3 linked regions of the Mytilus edulis genome follow. The main gene of each other region encodes a partner of the protein of the gene in region 3 in a complex. Links are inferred from orthologs where the notes say so. Each region holds a gene or a part of one and is shown on either strand. Other genes may lie near its edges. The genes, in order: glucose-induced degradation protein 4 homolog, glucose-induced degradation protein 8 homolog and armadillo repeat-containing protein 8-like.

What was found.
Region 1: the proteins of armadillo repeat-containing protein 8-like (region 3) and glucose-induced degradation protein 4 homolog are in contact, whole or in part, in a cryo-EM structure (PDB 7NSC), measured with the Homo sapiens proteins. The link is inferred for Mytilus edulis from reciprocal best matches to the Homo sapiens genes ARMC8 and GID4. Residues at the interface, in NP_001350870.1 of Homo sapiens: Glu309, Pro310, Asp311, Val312, Asn371, Glu373, Arg406, His409, Arg413, Ser414, Val415, Gln416, Arg419, Thr420, Gln423, Asp424, Val444, Ser448, Cys451, Asn452, Leu455, Phe457, Ala483, Val486, Asn487, Trp490, Met493, Asn494, Phe497, Gln498; in NP_076957.3 of Homo sapiens: Leu104, Ile105, Pro106, Pro107, Pro108, Pro109, Ile110, Gln114, Pro115, Gly116, Val117, Ala118, Thr119, Gly125, Gln146, His147, Tyr154, Cys156, Tyr158, Phe174, Glu176, Phe239, Val241, Pro242, His244, His292, Ser293, Ala294, Pro295, Ile296.
Region 2: the proteins of armadillo repeat-containing protein 8-like (region 3) and glucose-induced degradation protein 8 homolog are in contact, whole or in part, in a cryo-EM structure (PDB 7NSC), measured with the Homo sapiens proteins. The link is inferred for Mytilus edulis from reciprocal best matches to the Homo sapiens genes ARMC8 and GID8. Residues at the interface, in NP_001350870.1 of Homo sapiens: Asn45, Val47, Ile48, Gly49, Asn50, Val85, Ser89, Met92, Arg127, Arg130, Arg161, Tyr162, Tyr166, Leu200, Ser201, Tyr202; in NP_060366.1 of Homo sapiens: Ile83, Ala84, Asn87, His90, Pro91, Glu92, Leu94, Asp95, Thr96, Tyr101, Tyr183, Glu184, Asn185.

What each region holds. Positions count from the first base shown.
Region 1 is NC_092352.1:28,227,040-28,234,285, reverse strand, and holds the start of glucose-induced degradation protein 4 homolog, read left to right. Parts: upstream 1-4,243; 5' UTR 4,244-4,270; coding exon 4,271-4,447; intron 4,448-6,078; coding exon 6,079-6,246; intron 6,247-6,541; coding exon 6,542-6,643; intron 6,644-7,246. Other genes in the region: ATP synthase mitochondrial F1 complex assembly factor 2-like, read right to left, coding at 481-578, 947-1,092, 1,976-2,020, 4,086-4,185.
Region 2 is NC_092350.1:18,419,759-18,427,525, reverse strand, and holds the start of glucose-induced degradation protein 8 homolog, read right to left. Parts: upstream 3,061-7,767; 5' UTR 2,936-3,060; coding exon 2,922-2,935; intron 958-2,921; coding exon 815-957; intron 1-814. UniProt on the Homo sapiens protein: Core component of the CTLH E3 ubiquitin-protein ligase complex that selectively accepts ubiquitin from UBE2H and mediates ubiquitination and subsequent proteasomal degradation of the transcription factor HBP1.
Region 3 is NC_092345.1:44,936,290-44,944,362, forward strand, and holds the start of armadillo repeat-containing protein 8-like, read left to right. Parts: upstream 1-4,995; 5' UTR 4,996-5,079; coding exon 5,080-5,097; intron 5,098-6,575; coding exon 6,576-6,649; intron 6,650-7,543; coding exon 7,544-7,615; intron 7,616-7,644; exon of another isoform or gene 7,645-7,669; intron 7,670-8,073. UniProt on the Homo sapiens protein: Component of the CTLH E3 ubiquitin-protein ligase complex that selectively accepts ubiquitin from UBE2H and mediates ubiquitination and subsequent proteasomal degradation of the transcription factor HBP1.

The sequences.
Region 1 (7,246 bases), on a different chromosome or scaffold from region 3:
GCAGATTTCAACACAGGTAACATAATAACCATGCATTAACCTGATATTTCAGGGGTATGTAACAGAAACTTGTAGGGCCCTGTGGATACAATACCAAGACAAGTGGCAGTTTTTCTTACAGGAAGAGAATTGCAATACGGACTTAGTTAACAGTAACAAAATAATGCAATTTCTTACAAATGGCCTTTAATTATGCTAGATCTCTCAACTTAATCCAAAAATAATTTCAGTCATGAGCCTTTAAGAATCAGTCATGACTGGATTTCGAAAATTTAACATATCTAACAGGATTAACTATCAATTAAAAAATCCATACAGATTACCCGAAAGTATGCAACAACTCATTCAGTACAGACAGTAGGTACACTTACATATCCAAGACAAACATTTTTTTATTTATATACATGTATTTAGAGAATTACATTGAGATTTATTCTAGAGATTTTCATAATGGTCTTTATAATTAAACATATAACATACCATAGCGTGTCTGTCTCTGCATAATGTAATGTACTCCGTACTAAATCTTCTCTTGATTTATATGTAGGGTTATCCAATGCTGTATTGCACAGTGATGTCTGAAATAAACAGAACAAAGTTTCAAATGTGGCTCAGTATTGAAATATACTGCCCAATCTAAAGTGAGCCTTATCTAAAATTGAAAAAAAATCAGATAATCTGGAGTTACTCCACTGTTTTTATATCACATCCATAAAAAAATAGTGATCAACACTGAAAAATTTGTACAAATATATTATCACAATTTTGCTTGGGACATTATCTCTTAATCATAAAAAAAAATTGCTAAAGTCTAATAAATTCTATAAAGGATTGACAACAAAATTGATACATTTTTGTATGTAACAAACTTTAACAACAGTCAGTATTTACATGTTAATTGTGAAAAAATTATCTATGGCTTCAATACTTATGTATGTGCTCTTACTAAATGCATATAATGTCTCTTGACTATTTTGTGTTGCATATTCCATTCTGTAGCTACAGCTAAAGCCAGTGCCTCATTTGGAACTTTGAAAACCTTTCCATTTGGTGTCTTCAATTTTTTCTGGTCTAAATTTATTTCAAACCAGCCTAGAAAACAAGCAACCAAAAATTATCATTAGTATGAAGGCAAAACTTAATACATTTAGTACAGTGAAATGACCATGTAGGGAGTAATAGTTTTTACAAAAAAATCACAAAATCATTATTTCCCATTTGCTAAGTTGTGTTATTTAGGTTTGGCAAACTCATTTAGCTGTTAAGTTCAAAATAAACAGACTTCGATTGATAAATGATGTAGAGCATTAACATTTAAATCCAGTAAATAGTCAACAACAATTTGTCTACAGTCATATATCTGCTAAGTATTTCTGAGTTGCTTTAGAAATTCAAAAATTATATGTCAAATAATTATCACTGTAATACATAATGATCACAAACATTTAAAGTGTTGATGCATCTGATCTTGTGAATATGTAAGTATTTTCAATATATATGAAGCCTTCATATATATATATTGAAAATACTTACATATTCACCCTGTCCAAAGTCAAGATCTTGTAATGTAGTGGTTATCTTTTGATGCTGTATATCATATTTGTTTTTCATTCATTGTTTTGTACATAAATCAGGCTGTTAGTTTTCTCGTTTGAATAGTTTTACATTTGTCATTTCAGGGCCTTTAATTACTGACTGTATATAGGTTTTGCTCATTGCTGAATGCCATACTGTGACCTATTGTTGTAAACTTTTATGTCATTTAATTTTGATCTCTGGTGGAGAAGTGTCTTATTAATAATCATACCACATCTTCTTATTTTTATTTATGTATAAGATTTTGACATTTTAATTTTACCCTTACAAGACATTTTTATATTACAGTAGGTAATCACTGTAATGGAAACATCTATTTATTCAAATTGTTTTTGAACAATAACGCAAAACTATTTCCACTTTCAATTATTATTCATACCATTTGTCTGAGTTATAGTTGCATTCTTGTAAAATTTCTTTAACTCTAAAAAGAAAAAAAGAAAACTGTTGTTAATGCTGCACATACTGTACCTATGGTACATACACATTTTTGTGGATGTTGAAGGCTAAAGTTTTTAACGAAGTGTAAATTTTCTAGTGACATGAATACAGACTGTGGCAAATCTTTGAAATGAAACATCCATCAATGCACATTTTTTTCTCAATCCAAGATAACTTGCTACTGTGCATAGAAATTAATTACTCTAACAGCTAGACTATAAATAAAATATACATATCACATCAAAGCCAAAATATTTTATTTTTAATATGATATTTTATTACTATAAAAATTTTGGAGAAAAAAAGTATAAAAAAAAGAAAGTATTTTAAATACAATTTTCCTGTCACATTGATGACCTGAACACCTGTTGGTCATGATTTTTGTTTGTAAATACTATTACATGTATTATAAAACAAGGATAATCAGCAAATTCCATGTCATTTATCTTACTACATGTAGTCTATCCTATGGCTCACCCCGCTGTATAGTCATCATAACAATTTATGTTTCATTGGATTTTTCAAAAACCTTAATCTCATGCAAACATTACATTTTTTACTTGCATCTCTTTATTAACAAGAGTGCACATGCTGAAATGTCTCGCCTTCTTAAAGTTCTTTACTAATCATTGATACTATGTTGCTAGTCCTAAATATAAAGCTTTACTACAATCATTGAATACACTAAATATAGTTGACCTATTGCTTACAGTTTCTAAGAAACAGACTTTACCATGTAAACTAAACATTGACTATTATTATACATTTGTACTTCACGTTAAAATGCCATATTTTGATTGGGTGTTAATTTTCTCTATCACATGCTTCGCCATGGTTGACAATGTTTTCATGGGGTAACAATCTGCTCTATCACCCTTTCAGCTATCATGGCTATGTATTATTTATATAATAAACCATGAAAATGAGGTCAAGGTTAGATGAACCATGCCAGGCAGACATGTACAGCTCACAATTCTTCCATACAACAAATATACCTGACCTATTGCTTATAGTTTAACAAAAAAAGACCAAAACACAAAACTTAACACTTAGCAATGAACCGTGAAAATGAGGTCAAGGTAAAATAAAACCAGCGAGACTGACATATACAACATAAAATATTTCTATGCACCAAATATAGTTGACTTATAGCTATTGCATATAGTATAAGAAAAAGACCAAAACTTAAAAACTTAACTTTGACCAATGAACCATGTGACAAAAGTCACAGGCTTTACAAAAACAATGAAAGATAACCATGATAACTGGTCAATTAAACAATACAAATTTTCATAATTTGCTGATGCATACAGGTTTTGCCTAGACTTCATCCATTTTGTCATTTCAAAGTGGTCTATAGTGGATTCATTGATTGTTTGGTGTTTAACACAACTTTCAGCACTAACGTTTTACTTCATGGGGGTCGGTCTTTATTGGTAGAGGTAGCCAGAGTGCCTAAAGAAAAAACCATGACCTTGGATTAGAAAGCTGACAATCCTAGTTAATTTAGATTGAAGTCAAGTTCACCTGCCACATTCCAGATTTTAACTCACACAATTGACAGGCTAGTGATACAATAAGACTGCCACCGAGCCTTAAAATGTTTTCTTAGTACATTGTAACTTAGTATTAATAACATATGAATAAATTAAATGTCAAAATTTCCGATGACCTTCATTTAAACATTTACAAAGGATTTTTTTCTTAAAGCTTGTTAACCCTATTTTACTTGTAGAAATTGGCCATATCAACCTGGTTTGGTATGGGCCAGAGATTGATTTGAAACAAAGAGGAGGCTCAGGAGCTCATTTGGTTCCCATTGGAATGCTAACCGTACGTAAATAAACATGTTCTCAATGTAACGTAATTCAAACTACTGATGCCCTAAGCCTCTTAGAACAAATGTAATTATAATGCATAAAAAGAAAACAGATAGTACTAACAATATCAGTTTTTAACATTGATTTTCTAAAAAGGGGGAAGCTAATTTTGTTATTTGGATTGTGATTTCATATGGTTAGTGTTGTTTGACATTGAAATGTACATGCCTCTTGGGTTGAATCTTCTCACAGAACAAGTGCAATGTGAATTTGATACATTTAAGAAACTTTTGACAGCTGAATGATAAATTCTCATGGGCGCAGCCATTTTTTAAACGAATATGTTAAACTTTCTGTGATTGGTTGAAAAAATCCGGAAACAATAATCCGACCAATCACCGGTGTCAAAAGAAATGTCCATTTTGACAATTTACAGGAATGCCAAAACAATGCCGGTAAAGCTTGACCCACCACCTCCTGCGAATAGCAACCTCCCTGGAATAACCACCAGTCTATTGTACAATGGATCAAGGTTTCAGGGACACCAAAAAAGCAAAGGCAATTGCTATGATGTAGAAGTTATTTTACAGGTATTGAAAATAATAGTAAATGATTTCTACTGTAAATCCATTCTCAGTTTCTAGATATTTAAGAACTTATAAGATGTGGTATGAGTGCCAATGAGACAATTCTCCATCCTAGTCAGAATAAGTAAAAAGTTTACCTTTTAAGGTCAAGGTACAGCCATCAACAGGGAGCTGAATTGAAGAGGTCCAGCAAGAAATTTAAATACATGTATGTAGCCTTTCAAGACATATGCATGTCATAGTAAAAAAATAAAATACTTTTAAAAAGCCATTCTGGCATTCATCACATCAAAGTTAAAGTTAAGACAAGACGTCATAATTGTTAGGACTAGGGCTCTCACTAGTTCTTTTTCAGAAAATTTTTGCACCAAATAAATTATACCATTCTGGCCGTTGTGCCTACTACAGTTAAAAAAAAACAAATATCAATATTTTTAAAACTTTAGCTTATTATCATAATCAGGTTCTGTTCATATGAGATGCATTATTTATTGCTTGATCTGGCTATCACATATAAACTCAATAATACAACAGAAACTTAAATTGCAGAGTTATCTCCCATGGCAATTTTTATTATGAAATGTGTGCTTCCCAGCTGTTGTCTGGAAGTGCATTTCCAAAGGGAAATGACTTTTAAAGCCTGATTTAGTTGATACAAATATAACACATTCTATTTTTTTAAGCTAGAATTCATTTCATTTGCAAACCACATAAAGGCTCACCAAAGGTTTATATAGACAAGTATTAGGTTTTGTACATTGTAAGTCAAAGTTTGAGCTTAAATATATTATGGGGCATGCACAATAGGCTGTACAAATGTTCTTCTTTTGAAAATTTTGATTTGGAATTGAAAACAAAAAGTTTGCCAACATAAAGTTCTAAGAAGTACTTCTATATAATTTTTGAAATAATTTTTAAAACTTATCTTAGGGCAAATGTTTACACAAAAGTATTTAATTATTTCATTTGCCATGTCTGCAAAGTTAGTATGGAATTTCTCTACCAAATTATGATATGTGAGAAATTAAAATTTCATTCAAATTTTTTAAAGGGAGATAATTCTTAATATGCAAAATTGAACTTTTATATGTATAGCGATTTCCAAATCTGAAAAACATCCAAATTTATTTTATTTCATGGCATCTTCTATAGGAGTCTGGACTTCAAAAAATCACTTTAAAATCAAATTTTTGATTTTCTTAAACATAAAATGTATTTAAACCATGGTTATCTAGAGTCCATGCCATAATTTTCCCCAGCTTTTCAGATTGTCTGTACTAAAAAAAATTAGGTTCATACACAGCCACATTTGCCAAAAGATTCACAAAAACAAAAATTGGGGAAAAATGTGATATAAATTACGAAATCAATTTTAATGCCAGAACTGCAGGCACCAGGACCATTAACACTTAAGTTAATTTGCCTGAGCTTTAAAAAAAGAAAATACAACTTGATAAGTTTTAGGCATTGGAAAAGCTTTTAAATAGAGAGTAACCAAAAATACTACATAAATTTAACCAAAAATACAACACAAATTTAACCTAATTAAAATACAACATAAATTAACCAAAAATACAACATAAATTTAATCCTATTAATGTAGCCTTATATTTAACATTATTTTTTCTTTTCAGTATGTTGATATGGACAATTCTTATCTCTGTGGTTATTTGAAGATAAACGGCCTAACAGAGGAATACCCAACATTGACAACATTCTTTGAAGGGGAGATAATCAGTAAGAAACATCCATTTCTTACCAGGAAATGGGAGGCTGATGAAGAAGTAGACAGAAAACATTGGGTAATAAATTAATTAATATAATGACTTTTAATGAACAAAAAGCTTTGCATGCATCAATGTGCAATATGCATATGCTGTTCACAATTGTTTGCCCTTGTTATCTTTTATATTTTTTTATTTAAATAAATGAATTGAAAAATCCAATATTTTTCGTAATTTTTAAAAACATTTTCAAACTTCCTTTCTATCAGTAATTATTTGAAACAAATGATAATATCATTCCAGCATCTACTATTTCTTAACATATTTTTATTCTTCTCATATCATAATCATGTAATATTTTTAATACTTTCAGGGGAAGTTTTTATCTTTTTATCCATTTGCCAAGAATTTTAACTCTGATTCTTTTGATTATGAAGAATTAAACAACACAGATTTTGTATTTATGAGATGGAAGGTAAGCTTCTTAACATTATGTTGAGTTTATAAAACAATTAAATTGAGAATGGAAATGGGGAATGTGTCAAAGAGACATCAACCCAACCATCGAAAAGACAACAACAGAAGGTCACCAAAAGGTCCTCAATGTAGCGAGAAATTCCCGCACCCGGAGGCTTCCTTCAGCTGGCCCCTAAACAAAAATATACTAGTTTAGTGATAATGAACACCATACTAAACTCCAAATTGTACACAAGCAACTATAATTAAAAATAATACAAGACTAACAAAGGCAAGAGGCTCCTGTCTTGGGACAGGCGCAAAAATGTGGCAGGGTTAAACATGTTAATGAGATCTCAACCCTCCCCCTATACCTCTAGCCAATGTAGAAAAGTAAACGCATAACAGTACACACATTAAAATTCAGTTCAAGAGAAGTCCGAGTCTGATGTCAGAAGATGTAACCAAAGAAAATAAACAAAATGACAATAATACATAAATAACAACAGACTACTAGCAGTTAACTGACATGCCAGCTCCAGACTACAATTAAACTGATTGGAAGATTATGATTTCATCATATGTATATCAAGCACAATCCTTCCCATTAGGGGTTTAGTAT
Region 2 (7,767 bases), on a different chromosome or scaffold from region 3:
TTTGGTATCTTTCGCCTCTCTATTTCCAAGGAGACCTTTATATTATTGAAATGTTCATCAGCTTTGGGCACTCCAGCTTCCTTCGTCAATAAAAAATGGCAAACATAAAATAGCACATTCGTACTGAAAGTGGCATTATACACCAATCAAACTATCAATTCACTGCAAGTATTCTTGATATCAAATTATTTCATTGTTTATATGTTCATGTTAGTGTCTTCTATTGACAAGATATATGTGCTTTTTACAACTGATTTTAATTTAACACCATTTAATATATTTGCATTTTATTACATTACTTATCTAAATAAATGGGAAAGATGGAGATCAAATCATTTAAAAAATTCAATCACTGTCATAATTTCCTGCGTCTGTCACTAGTTACGAACTTTAGTCAGTTTTTGCCTCCAATTCTTTCCTAATGATTTTTGTCCTTTTTATAGATAGTTTGGTGGCAACAGAAAATCTTTTACTGAGTCTGTCTTATTTAATTTATTTACAACTTTTTTCAGACTTTCTGCCAATTCATTCTTAACAAATTGGGCAAACATTTGTTTTGTGTAGAAAACCATATGTTAATATAAGCTTGTTTGTGTCTTGGCTTTTTTTGTGTTGTCGATTGTGTCGCATAAAAAATGTTTTAATTCACCACAAGAAAACAAATCAAAAATAAAAATTTGCTTCATGTCATGTACATGTATGCGTACATATATATCTAAATCATTTATGAATAAATGACTAGTAAAATTTCCTCATACTAACAGAAGTCCCTTATACAAAAAAATGTTTCCTTAGCAATACTTTGAGAAGATACCTGTGACTAAATAGTTCATTATAAGTTTATTCATGTCTCCTCTCGTTACTTGTACTCCCTGGAGGCGTTCTAACCATTCATCTTTGGGAATTTCTTCCAGTTTTTCTGCTGCCGCACCGAAATTCATCTTGCGGGTAACATACCTGTATGAATAAAACATATTTTCTATTATTAATGAACAGAAATGTACAAGACACATTAGAAATTATCTACAAATTGTTCATGCATGTTAAAAATTGTAAAATAATTATTGGAAATCATTTCATACCATAACCATTTTGTATCATAACAAAAACCATTTCATATTATAATTATATAACCATTTTTGTACCATATTGGAGGTTATATTAGTATACCATTTTGTACCAAATGGGAGATTATGTATACCATTTTGTACCAAATGGGATATTATGTATACCATTTTTAACCATATGGGAGATTATGATGTAAACCATTTCATACCATATGGAAGATTATAATGTATACCAATTTGTACCATATGGAAGATTATAATGATTACAATTTCATACTGTCGTTTGTTATTTTTAGATATATTCATATTTCAGTACAGAAGGTACATGTAAGTTAAATTTCCTTTTGTGTACAGAAAAATTCTTGTTTGGAGATGAAATGTAAATAATTTTTCCATATCTAGTACAAATCATTTATGTAGTACGAAATGGTAAAAAAAAAATAATAACTACAAAATATTTCATGTTCACGGTGCAAAATGTAGAATTCATGGTACAAAATGGTAATTTTGGGTACAAACATGACGAAATGGCAATGGTACGAAATGAATATGGTACAAAACTACTAGATACCATCATAATAATAATGATTCCTCAGATCATTTTGTTCAATATTACATGTATATCTTTGATATATATTCAAATTTTCAATTATGGTTTTAATAACTAAGAAACACCAGTTTCCAACCTGGGTTCAGGCTCATACAATGTACAGTTGGTGAATGTATATTCTTATAACAAATTGTTATAATACAAGCTGCTGCTAGTAGATATTAATATAAAGTGGTTCTCAAAATGCTGATTCAAATTAATTTCAAAATTGGTGTTGGTACCATTGAAGATTATTTGATAATAACTTTATGATGTTGACGTAAAGAAAGTGTTGCACCCTCTTTTTGTCAAGTAATATTAAAAATAATTAATATATATTTCATGCTCATGATGTTCAGAACAACATGAAAAGTAATGACCAAATCTGAAATGACTGTGCCTGAAATTAATATAACCAAAATGGTACTGTGGCCAAACTGGTTGTGTTGCTGCGACGTCTTGATTGTTTGTTGGTTGCTTAAAGTCCAGTGGGAAATATTTCATGCATGTTGAACTTCAGGACAAGAACAAGTTCACACTAAATACAATTTAGGTAGGTTTTGTAATGGTAGAGGCCATCAGGGTTGATGGTAGTGGAAATTTGGACTGTCACTGGAAAATGAGGGTAAATTGGATAGGGACAGAAATTTTACTTTGCAACAGGCAACCTACGGACCCTTCAAAGATTTGTTGTAAAGGTTCTGAAGGTGCATAGAGCGTGGCACTCTCTCTACGCCAGACATTGGATTTAACATCCCAATTCTGACCCGACGTGGCTGTAGTATCCAGATTAACCCGGGAACTCACATCATGGGTTAATCTGGATACTACAGTGGCAGCAAACTTGATTAATGCTGCACAGCCAAACGGATACTCCAATTTGGCAAGCGTTTTACTGCAGGTCGGGAGAAGACCAAGTGACCATATTTCGTTTCCCCAGTCACCCTGAGAGGTCTTGAAAGCATGTTTTGTATTGAGCCACTCTCATCTTCTGGTTTCCAATGGGTAAATGCGGCATAAGACATTATGCATAGAAGATATACAACCCACTGTTTATTCAAATAATCTTTTCTGAGAAAAAAAAAAATAAAGTTGTTTTTCTTTGGTGCATGCCTTTGACATAAATTCATGTGTTAAATTTATCAGTAGAGCTGATTGGACATAAAGAGTATTATGAATGTTTATGTGTGTTCTTTGGAAAAACAAGAACTGTTAAATTAAATTTACAAAGGGAAAGAAAACAAATCAAAGTATAAAGAAGTCACCAGTTCATGCTCATTGTTTTGAAGAAACCGGAAGTTTACTTCAGAAGCGGAAATAAACAAATATTGGTCTGTTGAACCGGTTTTTGTCGTGACAATCAGGACAAACCCTCATGTCTGTATATAATCCACGTATAAGAGAGCTTGATTGCAATATTTAGGACATGAATACTTAAGAAAACAAGGATTTTAACTTCGTTATTCTTCGCAGTGCTCCGTGACAACGCCTCGGAAAAAACAAGATGGCGCATATTTGTACATAAATTCTGATTGAACTGTCAAATGTGATGTTGACCTGGAAATTTACAGTGATGGAGACAAGTTAATTATATTTAGATTTAAGCCAAAATGGCAGAAAGGTAAAAATTTCAAGACAGAAATTAAGAAAATAGAGAGAAATTAGAAACAAGCATAAAATGAAAATCAGTTTTATTGATCAAGCACCTGCTCTGCAGCTGCAACTAGTTTTAATTGCATATCACAAGATGATACATGTATATTGAAATTAATGTGTCATTATACAAATGCAGACAAGTATTTATTTTCCTTTGTCAACACACTGTGTAACACATTTATAAGAGGTAGTCATCCTCAATCAGTTAGTTGAACTCCCTAGGTTATTGTTGCTGAACCGTTTCAGTGGGTAGGAATGCCCTTTGCCGTCAGTCGTCAAATAGTCACTTGCAGCTTTTTTTTAGCGTAAAATTTGGTTGAAATTTACCATATTCGTCAAAATTTACCTTGATTTGTCAAAATATGCTATTCTTGATTCGTCAAGTCTCTACCGACTCTACATTATGTAGCTAAAACTGTAAAGTGGGTCTCATTGGGGTCTAAGCGTGACAAGGGATTGACAAATGTTTTTTAATTGTGACACGTGAAAGTCAAATTATTGTGCCATGAAAACTGGAAATGAAGTCTAGCGGGACACGGGAAATTACAAAAAAATAAGAATTGCTTAGGTACATAGTGTAAGCGGGATATGGGAATCTGACAAAACAGTAAGCGGGATCCGGGATCAGAACCCCCAAATGAGACCCCCTGTAAACTGGACCCCTGTTGTGTTCACTTATCGCTACACTGACAACAGGTACGGCCTAATTCTGACCACAGGATTTGATATTTCGAATAGACCAGTGCATCATGTACTACATTTGTACATGTGTGTTTATTATCTATGTACTATACTGATAGGAAATCAAATGAAAAATTAGCACGTTTGTAAATTCTTCTGAGTTCTTTTAAAGAGGAGAGAGGATTAATATTCAACAGCATAGTGAATTGCTCAAAAGCAAAAAATAAAAATTAAGTTCATTAGACCACATTCATTCTGTGTCAGAAACCTATGCTGTGTTAACTCTTTATGAATCACAACCCAAATTCAGAGCTGTATCCAGCTTGAATGTTGTGTCCACACTTGCCCTAACCGTTCAGGGTTCGACCTCTGCGGTCATATAAAGCTGCGTCCTGCGGAGCATCTGGTTATATACTCATCAAAATTTTTTCTTCATGAATGTACTAGTACTGTACTCCCATATTCAATACAACCCTCTTTTTAGTTATACAATGTACTTAAACTACATGTAGAACAAATATATAAATTTTTGTATTGGTTCCAAGATCTTAATACTACAATAGTACATGTATTCTAAACTTTTTCAATTACTTGTCCGAAGACCAATATTCTGACATTTTTCTTATACATGTAGGTCCAAACTAAATTTTGCAAAAAACTCACTAGTCCAAATGAAATTTTACTAGTCTGGGGCATCGGACTAGTGGCTAACCGTGCAGACTGAATTCCTAGCGCCACATTTAATTTATTGTCTGCCACACTTATTTTATTGTCTGCCACACTTGAAAATTCAATAGATTGAAGTTAAATTCTGGATATTTCTAATCCAATTATCATGTCAGTGGCAATTAAGAAATATAATTAGTGTTAAATGGTGTGAACACTAGTACTGCCACAAGGGATGTATATTGACAGTTGATTGCATTATTGACATTGTCTTGGGTGGTTGAACAAGGTACATGTAATATTCAATGAATGATCATGACCCAGTTTGATCATTTGTTTACATGTACATTTTTGTATCAAATGGCAGGAAATCATAGAAACTTTCAATTTATTAATTACCTGAGGTACATTCGTAAAAAATGAATATTAAGTCAGTGGTACATGTACATGCAGTTTCATAAGCATTATCAAGTCTCATTCACAATTTCCCATGGAGATTGTATATGGGCCAGCCTTATCATCATGGTTCATTGACTTTAAACTTTTGCATAGTTTACTGTTTAAGAAAAAAGTTTGTTTTTAGGTTACAATAATTAAGGGAACCACTTGTGATTCGTTATTGGTATTTGGTATGCAGTTTTATAAGCTATGGCATTTTTCATTTCCATGGACGTTATAATTTGGTCCTGCTTCTTCAGTCATTGATTCACTTTGAATGTTTTGCATATATATAGTTTACATGTTTTTAAAATATTGACATTGTTATTCCAACATTTGCAATATACTATTAAACTTACAAAAAGCGAGACATATAAAAAGAGGGTGATCTTTTATTCAAATCATGTCCTACTTTACTGATTTTGTTTGTCTGTCTTTCCATTTTACTTTCTGCATGTCTCCACACTTTATCTTAAAGTTAGCCTCATCCAAATTTTATCATACTACATGTAGTACATGTACACAATGCTAAGAATTCGAATGCAACTTGCAGACAGAGTTAAAATTTGGGCAGAGAATCACTTACTATTCTAGAGTTATGCCCCTTTATAACTTGGATAATTGCAAACTTTTTTGTTTCTGCACTAACTTAAGGTTGCCTTATCCCAATTTTATGAAACACACACAATACTAAAAACCACAATGTGCAGACCGAATTTGAATTTGGGCAGTGAGTCATTTTCTGTTCTTCAGTTATGCCCCTTTTTAACTTGAAAAATTTTGAGCAAGGGCAGTTCTGTCCTCAGACACAATTTTAATTTACTTTCCCAATAGTCAATAAGTTTGTATGTACTGATTATGAAAAATGTTTCTTCTTGATGCTGATTAGTTGAATTAACTTCCATGACTTCCAAACAGTATGTAAAATGTATATAGATATAGGATGATGTGGTGTGAGTGCCAATACATGTATGTATTCATTGAGTCATCAAGTCTGGAAATGTTTTAACTTAGTTGAACAGAACAGAGATTTAAAGAAAGACATATTATTGTATGATGCATTTTTATGCAATACATTATAAGAATTTAAATTTAGATTGTATAGACATGCATAAGATGTTTGATAGGCAATTGACTTGCAGTGGCTAAAATTGATATTGATCTGTAATGCTGATGGTTGGAGTAATAGTGTCCATTTTGTGTTGGCTGCAATGGCATTTTATTTACTGCACTGCACCTGTTTTTAACTATATGTATCCAAAATAAAACATTATACAGATTTGTTCAATTAAAAAAAAATCTACTTAATATTTGTCAGATAAAAAAAGAACAGGAAAGAATATCAATGAATTTCTTCCTGGTTTCTAAGCTTTACAAATGCATTTTCTTAACAAAAATAAAAACGATATACAATGTAGGTTTTTTTAAGTATTTTTTTTTCTCAACATTTGAAAGCAAGATTGTTATGGAGCTCATGATTGGATTTTAAATCTTCTTCCCCCCCCCCCACACCTGCTCCCTCAGACTGTGGACTGCTGATTATGATGAGTAGTTTGTTATTGGAATTTAAATCTTTCTCTTTTTTTACAACTGCAAAAAAAAACTTTTGCATCTTATAATGGTATCATGTCGTCATCTGCGTTGTCTGAAGACACATTAAGTTTCCTGACAATAACTTTAGTTTTAGTAAATTTTTACCAGAAGTTTAAATACCACTAAAGGAAGGTTGGGATTAATTTGGGGGATATGGTCCCAATAGTTTAGGAAGAAGGGGCCAAAAAGGGGGCCCAAAATAAGCATTTTTGTAGTTTTCAAACAATAACTTGTGTTTAAGTGTATGAATCTCTCTGAAATTAAACAAGTTTCCATACCATGAAGGGATGGTAAGTAATGAATTTGGGGGGTTATGGCTCAAAATGATTTGGAATAAGGGTCTAAAAAAGGGAAATTAGGGGCAAAAAAGGGGAAAAACTAGGTTTTCCAGACAATTACTTTAGATTTAGTGAATGGATCTCTATAAATTTTTTTCAAGAAGGTTCAATACCACTAACACTAAAGGAAGGTTGGGATAGATTTTGGGGGTTATGGTCCCAATAGTTGAACAATTAGGGGCCAAAAATAAGCATTTTTGTAGTTTTCAAACAATAACTTGTTGTTAAGTGTATGAATCTCTCTGGAATTATACCACAAGTTTCCATACCATTAAGGGGTGGGTAGTAATGACTTTGGGGGTTATGGTTCAAAATGTTTTGGAATTAGGGGCTACAAAACACTACTTGTAAATAATGTACAAAGAAATGTCAGGTTTTGGACTTCTTGCAAAAATTTTTGAAAAGTTTGAAGAAGAAATCTGTAATTGCACAATATTGCATAAAAGATTTGTAAGATCTTGACATTTGTTTTGTGTCAGAAACTCATATTATGTCAAGAATTTGATCACAATCCAAATTCAGAGCTGTATCAAGCTTGAATGTTGTGTCCATACTTGCCCGAACTGTTCAGGGTTCGACCTCTGCGGTCGTATAAAGCTGCGCCCTGCGAAGCACCTGGTTCTTTGATGACTTTAAGTGATTTAAAACTTCTTGTTTGAAACCTATCAAAATAACAGAAATTTTAGTAGAATTTATTAGTCCAGTAAAATTAGAAATGGTTAAAAAATTAAGAATGTAT
Region 3 (8,073 bases):
ACAATTAAATCAATTTCTAAAGGGACTTATCATTTTTAACCTGGGAGGGGGGCTGGTCATTTTGAATTCAAACATATAAAATTTCTTGATCCCTCATAATATTTCACAATTTTCATTTAATCCCCCTAGTAAAACTGACATACGGCCTTTTCCATCAATATTGCAAGTCAGTGCTTTTAGTAGTTTTTTCTGACTTTTTTTTCTAAATTCCTATATTGTGCTAAAAAAGAAAACTTGATCCTAAGCAACTCACACAATAACTTTTAGAAACCGGCAGTAACAATACATTATTTATTTAGAGGAATCTATTATATGAATGCTGCTTAATTAAGCTTTACGTAAGGCCTTATTGAAACCTCAATTGAGTCGCTAAACTTTTATATGCAATTTAAAAAAAAAAAAAACTTCTAGAAAATATCATTTTTTTGTAGTTTGAAAAATAAAAAAAACTCGACCAGGAGTTGTCTACCATAAGCATAAGTCTAGGGAACTGGGGTAAGGGGACACATTAAGCGTATACAGTATACACACGTTTCGGTTCGCTGGGACATGTATGATATATTAAGAATTATAATTTATAGTTTAGCTAGCTATAAAACCAGGTTCAATCCCCCATTTTCTACATAAGAAAATGCCTGTACCAAGTCAGGAATATGACAGTTGTTTTCAATTCGTTTGATGTGTTTGAACTTTTGATTTTACCATTTGATTGGGGACTTTCCTTTTTGAATTTTCCTTGAAGTTCATTTTTTTTGTGATTTTACTTTTTTCTCCAAGTCACAGTTTCTTCCAAAATTACTGAATGATCGATGTGTCAATGACAATGTTGATTATCCAACATATTACTTTGTTTAAATTAGTATTACGTACATGGGGGAAAATATACTTGCCTCCCCGTGCCGCTAAAGTTATATTTGCTTAAGAGCATAAAAAACCACATCTATTTCCATAGCTACGACCATACAATAAAGATACATATAACATCCCCCAAAAAGAAAATTTCCCAAATTTTATCAAAATGGTGTATGTGTTTTATCCATATAAAAATTGCACTATAATAAATTCAAACTATATAATCACTTCCGTATATTAAGACTCAATCAGTTTCCAACTAATCTTTGTAAATACATTTGTATCAACTGAAATATTCTGGCTGACCAGTTCTCAATCTAGCATCGTATACATGTGCCGACATTTTTGTTTAAATGTACTTTAATCACTCTAATCATTCTAATAATCATTTACTGGGCTTTATTTTGTCAGTCATGCATCGTTGACAATGTAATGGAATTTGATGCGACTGTCATACAAGTGAGAGGTTTAGCTAGCTATAAAACCAGGTTCAATCCACCATTTTCTACATTAGAAAATGCCTGTACCAAGTCAGGAATATGACAGTTGTTATCCATTCGTTTGATGTGTTTGGACTTTTGATTTTGCCTTTTGATTTTTGATTTTCCTTTTTGAATTTTCCTCGGAGTTCAGTATTTTTGTGTTTTTACTTTTTTTGATTGTGTAGCTCAAATTTTGGGCGCAATGTATATTGATTGGTGGAAAAAAATACCTGTACAAGATATGAAAAAAATAAACGATTTTTTTATTCAATCATTGATAACAGTTCAATTTTGTTATAATAAGTAAAGAAACATCGCTGATAAATGGTTCGCTTGCAATTGAATTATTATTACATGGGTTTGATAGATATAGGAAGATTTGAGTGACAACTCTCCATCCAAGACATACTTTATAAAAGTAAACCATTAATTATAGGTCAATGTAAGGTCTTCAACACGGAGCCTGGGCTCACACCGAACAGCAAGCTATAAAGGGCCCCAAAAATTACTAGTGTAAACCCATTAAAACGGAACAGCCGAGAAATCGGTATATAACAGAATTTCGTCACCGTCCGGCAATTTTCTAAATCGGAAGTTAAGTACTTAATTGTGTTATATAAAGGAATATACGGTAGGGAAAACAAATTCTGAGACGAGTGCCTGTGATCAAATATAAGAATTTGAGTCACTCAAATCGATGAACATGAATTGTCAGTTTATGCCCCTATAAGGGTTACGTAACTAAGAAAGAATAAAATATAAAATTGAGAATGGAAATGGGGAATGTGCCAAAGAGACAACAGCCCGACCATATAGCTGACAACAGCAGAAGGTCACCAACAGGTCTGCAATGCAACGAGAAATTCTCGCACCCGGAGGCGTCCTTCAGCTGGCCCCTAAACAAATATATACTGGTTCAGTGATAATGAACACCATACTAAACTCCAAATTGTACACAAGAATTATCAATTCATAACATATATGAGAAGAACATAACCCGTGTCATGCCAACAACTGGTTTAAAATAATAAATGTGTTTATATTCCGGACCATATGAGTATTTGGACCATACGCGTATGGTCATGACCATATGCGTATACTCATATGGTCCGACCGTACGCGTATGGTCGGACCATATGAGTATATACTCGTTTTGTTATAAACGGGCCGGACCATATGAGTATTAGGACAATATAGGTATATTTTTCAATAATATGCACGAGAAAACTTTATAAAATAACAATGATTGCTACATGCAATTGTATTATTTACAATTCAAATAACATTAAATATTGATGCCAAAGTTAGTTTTCATCACTAATTGTATTCTTGCATGGATGCGTAGGGTGACATTTACGTCCACACGGCACCATAGCTTTTCTTGGGTCCGGGGTCATTCCGATGTGTCTACGGTGAAAAAGCTCTACTAGATCTTCAATATCGCAACATGACTGAAGTACATCATATCACCAGACAACTTTAAAAAATGAACTAGTGTCGACATTTTGTCATTCACTCGTAATAGCATATCGGTAATGAAAAAAAAATGTGTGTTTACTATAGTTTAGTGATGAAATTTGCTGTGTGAAACTGCTCATTTTATTTTGTTAATCTTGTTATTACTAATTTTTAATGAAAAAAATACCTTTAGTAGTGTCTTTTTAGTGACGTGACAACTAGAAGGGTTATATAAAGAGGTAAGCATAAATATACCGCGACCATACGCGTATGGTCACACCATATGAGTATATACCCATATGGTCATGACCATACGCGTATGGTCCAAATATTCATATGGTCCGGAACATTTATATAGTTCACAGTTGTTATAGTAGTCTCAGCATAAGTGAATCAATATCAACGCCAAAATATGCAATCTTTAATGACCTGAGAACAGTATCGTAACTATACCCCTTCTTAATAAGTCTATTTAAAGGTTTTGTTATCTTCTGAGGTGAATACTGACATTTTTGTGCTTTATAAAAGAATATTTCCATAAAATATTGGATGTGAAATACCTGAACGTATAAGAAGTCTACATGTTGAGCTATATTTACTATTGATGTCCTTACTGGTACCGATGATAAAATTAAGTAAATGTTTTAACTAGTTTGTGATATCGTATTTATCAAGGACTTGTTATCATTATACAAATCGTTGGATGTATTGAGACAGGCAACATCAAGGCGGTAGTTAATTATTATACTGCAGATGACAATATGTTACAGTCAGATGGTGTTCTGAACTGTGCTTTGAAAAAAAAGCGATTTTAAAGCAAATACTAAGACAGTTTTGCAGCAAAGTGTATGATTTTATACATGCAAAATAATTAAGTTTTCTGTCATAACCAGATTTTTCTTATTAATACAGATAAGAATGATTCCACTGAATTATTTGAAATGGCTAATAACTTAACTTAGAATTGAAATGTCACACTAAAGACATGTAGTATATTGTTTTATATATCTCTGGTAATACCAAGTGTTTACATTGTAAAATATAGGCATATTACGACTGGTACTGTGTGACATAACCGTTAAATCCTTAATTAAGAAATAATTCATGGAAGCCATAGATTGTTGGAAATTTACACATGGCCTGGGCCGTGATATTCGAATTTTATCCTGAGCGTTAGCGAGGGATAAAATTAACGAATATCACGGCCCAGGCCATGTGTAAATTTCCAACAATCTATGGCTTCCATGAATTATTTCGATTCTAATAGGACAAATACGGTCATTAAAAAACTGTAGCGATGGTAGGTATGCTGTGTGTGTGGCTGTTCTTTTTTTACTCCCGGTTCGATAAAGCTCAAATATTCATAAAATCTGTAGCTTGCATTGATTGTTTAGTGAATTACCGCTAGAAAAAAAATCTGTTTAATTCTTTAAATTCACAAACCCAACATTTGCCATTTTTAATTTACATGTTTTTCTCGTAAGCTACCGTCAAATCCAAAGTTGACATTTTGTAACTAAGGAGCCGCCATGTTGACTTGCTGAAATCAGTAAATATGCGAAAAATGCAATAGAATAGAAAATAAAACAAAACCTACCTTACAAATCAATTTTAATACAATATTATACGAATTTCGATGGTTCACTTTTCAGAAAACGTTCAACTGTAGCGTTTTCATTTGTATGACGTCATGTTTTGAAATGACTTAAATGCGTCAAAAACATTAAAAGACTTTCGCGGAATTTTATTTTATTTTTATTTTGTTGATTTCTCCGAGCTCTTGTGCATTATTTCTTTTTATTATGCATCCGAATTAGAATAAGTTATTTTGTCTTTTTTAACTGCAATTTAAAAAAAAAATAATCGGCAAATGGTTTACAAATAGGTTCCAATACATGTGGATTTACGTGGGAAATATATTGTAACAGCCATTATTATGTATATCTCTGAGTCTGCGCTAAGTATAGATATATGGAGAATTTTATCACGGTGTTGTTTAGAAAGCGAAAGAAGCACGTCATATTAGAATTGCATATGAAGTAAGAAAAACTTTGCCTCTTTGAATTTCATCTACAATAACTTAAAAAAAAGTGTGTCGTCTCGTTTGATTTATTTTTATGTAACAGAATGTAAAAGGTGAATTTTCGCATATACTACAGAAATTAATGGTATATTAAAATTAGGGGCGAAACTACCATATAACTTACGAAGGATTTCGCCGGTCACAATAAATCGAGTTCAGCCGATCATAGCTAAACTGTTTTGATTTTGCTGAAAACATAACAGAATGATTCAAACAGCTATGGTATACTTCTATCATGACCTTTATTTTTATCTATATAACTGAAGAAACGATTAAAAACCAACATATTCTTCGCTGATCTTTCAGAAATCAAATGAGTGCACTATAAAAATATTGTTTTCTGTTGAAAAAAAAACCAGTATTTATTTATAATTATACATAAAATATAATTGATTACAGTCAACGGTGGTGTAGCCAAATGCACATCTGTTCTTCTGGTATAAGTGCAACTGGTTGACTATTCTGCTACAAGTTTGGAGTGAGCAAACGAATTAATATTTAAACAAAAATGAGAAAAAATCATATTTGCACCTGTACATGTACATGTTCATGATGTTGCAAGTAAAAATATATCATTTAGATTTAACATATTTATTAATTTAATGTCAGCATGTAAAGCCATGAAAGAAGGTTAAGGCACATAAGGTGGTCCACTGATCTTTTTAGTATAAAATGACCAGAGAAAAGACCCCTTCTATACACTTGTTTTGCATGAGGGAATTCTAAATGCCTCTTTGTTGTTATTTCTGGTAGGCCTGTCATTTAATGTCAGCTTACAACATGTATTAATTTTGACATCGTTGTTTTGAAGTCTATGTATACATCATTATCACATATTTGTTACGAATACGTTGGGTTTTGCATATATGTAATAACCTCAAAATAACCTGGGGCAAAAAAGAGGTTATTGGTTATTGTGCCCTGGTTCTAAATAATGTGACGTCATTGCATTCTTAACGACACTTTTATGATAAAATTTGTAAGATTTTACCTATTATGTTTCGTTAAATTGTTATAATTGAATTTTTTTTTCTCTTTTCTGCAGAATTTTTAAATAGATTATAACATGCCTTTTCCATATTGGCCCTGGTATCATCCCTCGACCTATATCGGCCCTCGGCTAAAGCTTTGAGGCCAATATGGAAAAAGGCATGTTATACTCTATACTTATTTACCCCTTTGCCGCTGGAGGGACATATGTTTGTTCGTATCATTGCTTTATATATCTCTAGAAAATTAAATACTGGATTCAAAGATAAAATCATTTGACATGTTTGATGATTTCTTCAGTGTGTACCCAATGTCACATAATTTTATAATATATATGAATCATGACAAATGAAATTACTGCACAGAATCATAATCCATTAATGTACATCCATGTACAAACTGTAGCTTTCATATGGGATATAAATTACAACAACAAAAAATCATGTTTTGAAAAAAAAAATACAAAAGTGCCTTCAATAAGATAAAAGGCAATAAATCATGTTCTAATTAGTAACTTCTGATAACCTGAATTTCTTACAAGATTGATTCATCACAAAATCAAGCTTTTTAGATGGTGCAATTTAATATTTTTTAGAATGTTTTAATACCGTAATTACAATCACTGCAGGATAACTTAGCCTTAAACAAACTGGTGTAAGCAAACTAGAACTACAAACACTGTCCAAATAAATAAATTGAATTTGTTGTAGGAAGTAGATTCTGGATGGGAATGTGTGAATATCATTCTGGCAGACGAACAAGATAAATGGATGGAATCAATTGTGTGAGTATAATGTGATACATGTAGCTGTGTGTTTATTTACCACTTACCCACATTTATGACATTCCCAATTAGAATATAAACACCTTTGATGCAAATGTTTTGAAGCTGAGGTAATTTATACATTGATATTGATCACAAAATATGTTTTATTGTGGTAGCTTTATGTCCCATTGTGGATGAACAGAATATAGTTAAAACTAAACTGATCATGATATGTCACAAAAAAGGAATTTATTATTATGTCAGTATGTGAAACATTGTTAAATAGCCTTTCGACAAAAATCGTTGAAAGGCTATTTAACAATGTTTAACAAAACTAAGTCCATTTTTCTGTAAATGGACTTAGTTTTTTTGTTAGAAACAAAACATTCACTCTGTGGTTTAAGTTTTTAAAATTTTTATAATGTTCTTAAACTATCCTGGATTTCTACCAAACTTAGACAAAAGCTTGTTTCTGATCATAAGATATTGTTCAGAAGTAAATTTTGTAAAAAAAAATTAACTTTTTCCGTATTTTACTTATAAATGGACTTAGTTTTTCTTCAAGTTAACATTACATACAGTCTGCAGTTAAAGTTTATAAAACATTTATTAGATTCATAAACTATCCTGGATTTTTTTACCAAACTTTGAAGCTTCTTTCAATCAAAAGACAGTATCGAGAGGGAAATTTTTATTGATGTTTTTCCTAATTTTTGTTGAGTCTGCGATTAACAGCAAAAGTAGGCGAGACACTGGGTTCCGTGGAACCCTTACGAATTTTTTTATAATTGTACCTGGTGTATGTCAAAAAGATATTTTAATTGTGGAGGGGACAAACAGATTTTTTTTCAATCAGAAACAACTGCAAGAATTATTATGTTTTCATTATATTTTTTTGCCTTTTTTCAACAGACATGTAAAGAACTCTGTGATTGGCAACAATAAACACAAGAATTTAGCTGTCCAACAGGGAATTATACCTAGGTAAGTCATATTTTCAAAACCTTATTTAGCTGTCCAACAGGGAATTATACCTAGGTAAGTCATATTTTCAAAACCTTATCTTATCAAGACTTTCAACATAAAGTTCAGGTTTACTTGAAATTATTCTATGGTTGAGTCACTAAGAAATCTCAAATATAAATCACTTTCCTATCATAATACATGCAGTGTCCCCATAATTTTGAATGCTAGGAGGAACAACTCTTACAAATGATTCAACAAATTAGAGACAACCCCTGGCATTATAAAACAAATGAAAGTTCCAAAAATGTAAATTTAATAAAATTTGAAAATATTTTATTTTTTATTTTTTTCATGCCCCATTTATGGGCATTATGTTTTTTAGTCGTTTATCCATTCGTTTGTTTGTCTGTCGCACGTCTGTCTTCCAGCTTCAGGTTTAAGTTTTTAGTTGAGGTAGTTTTTGATGTAGTTGAAGT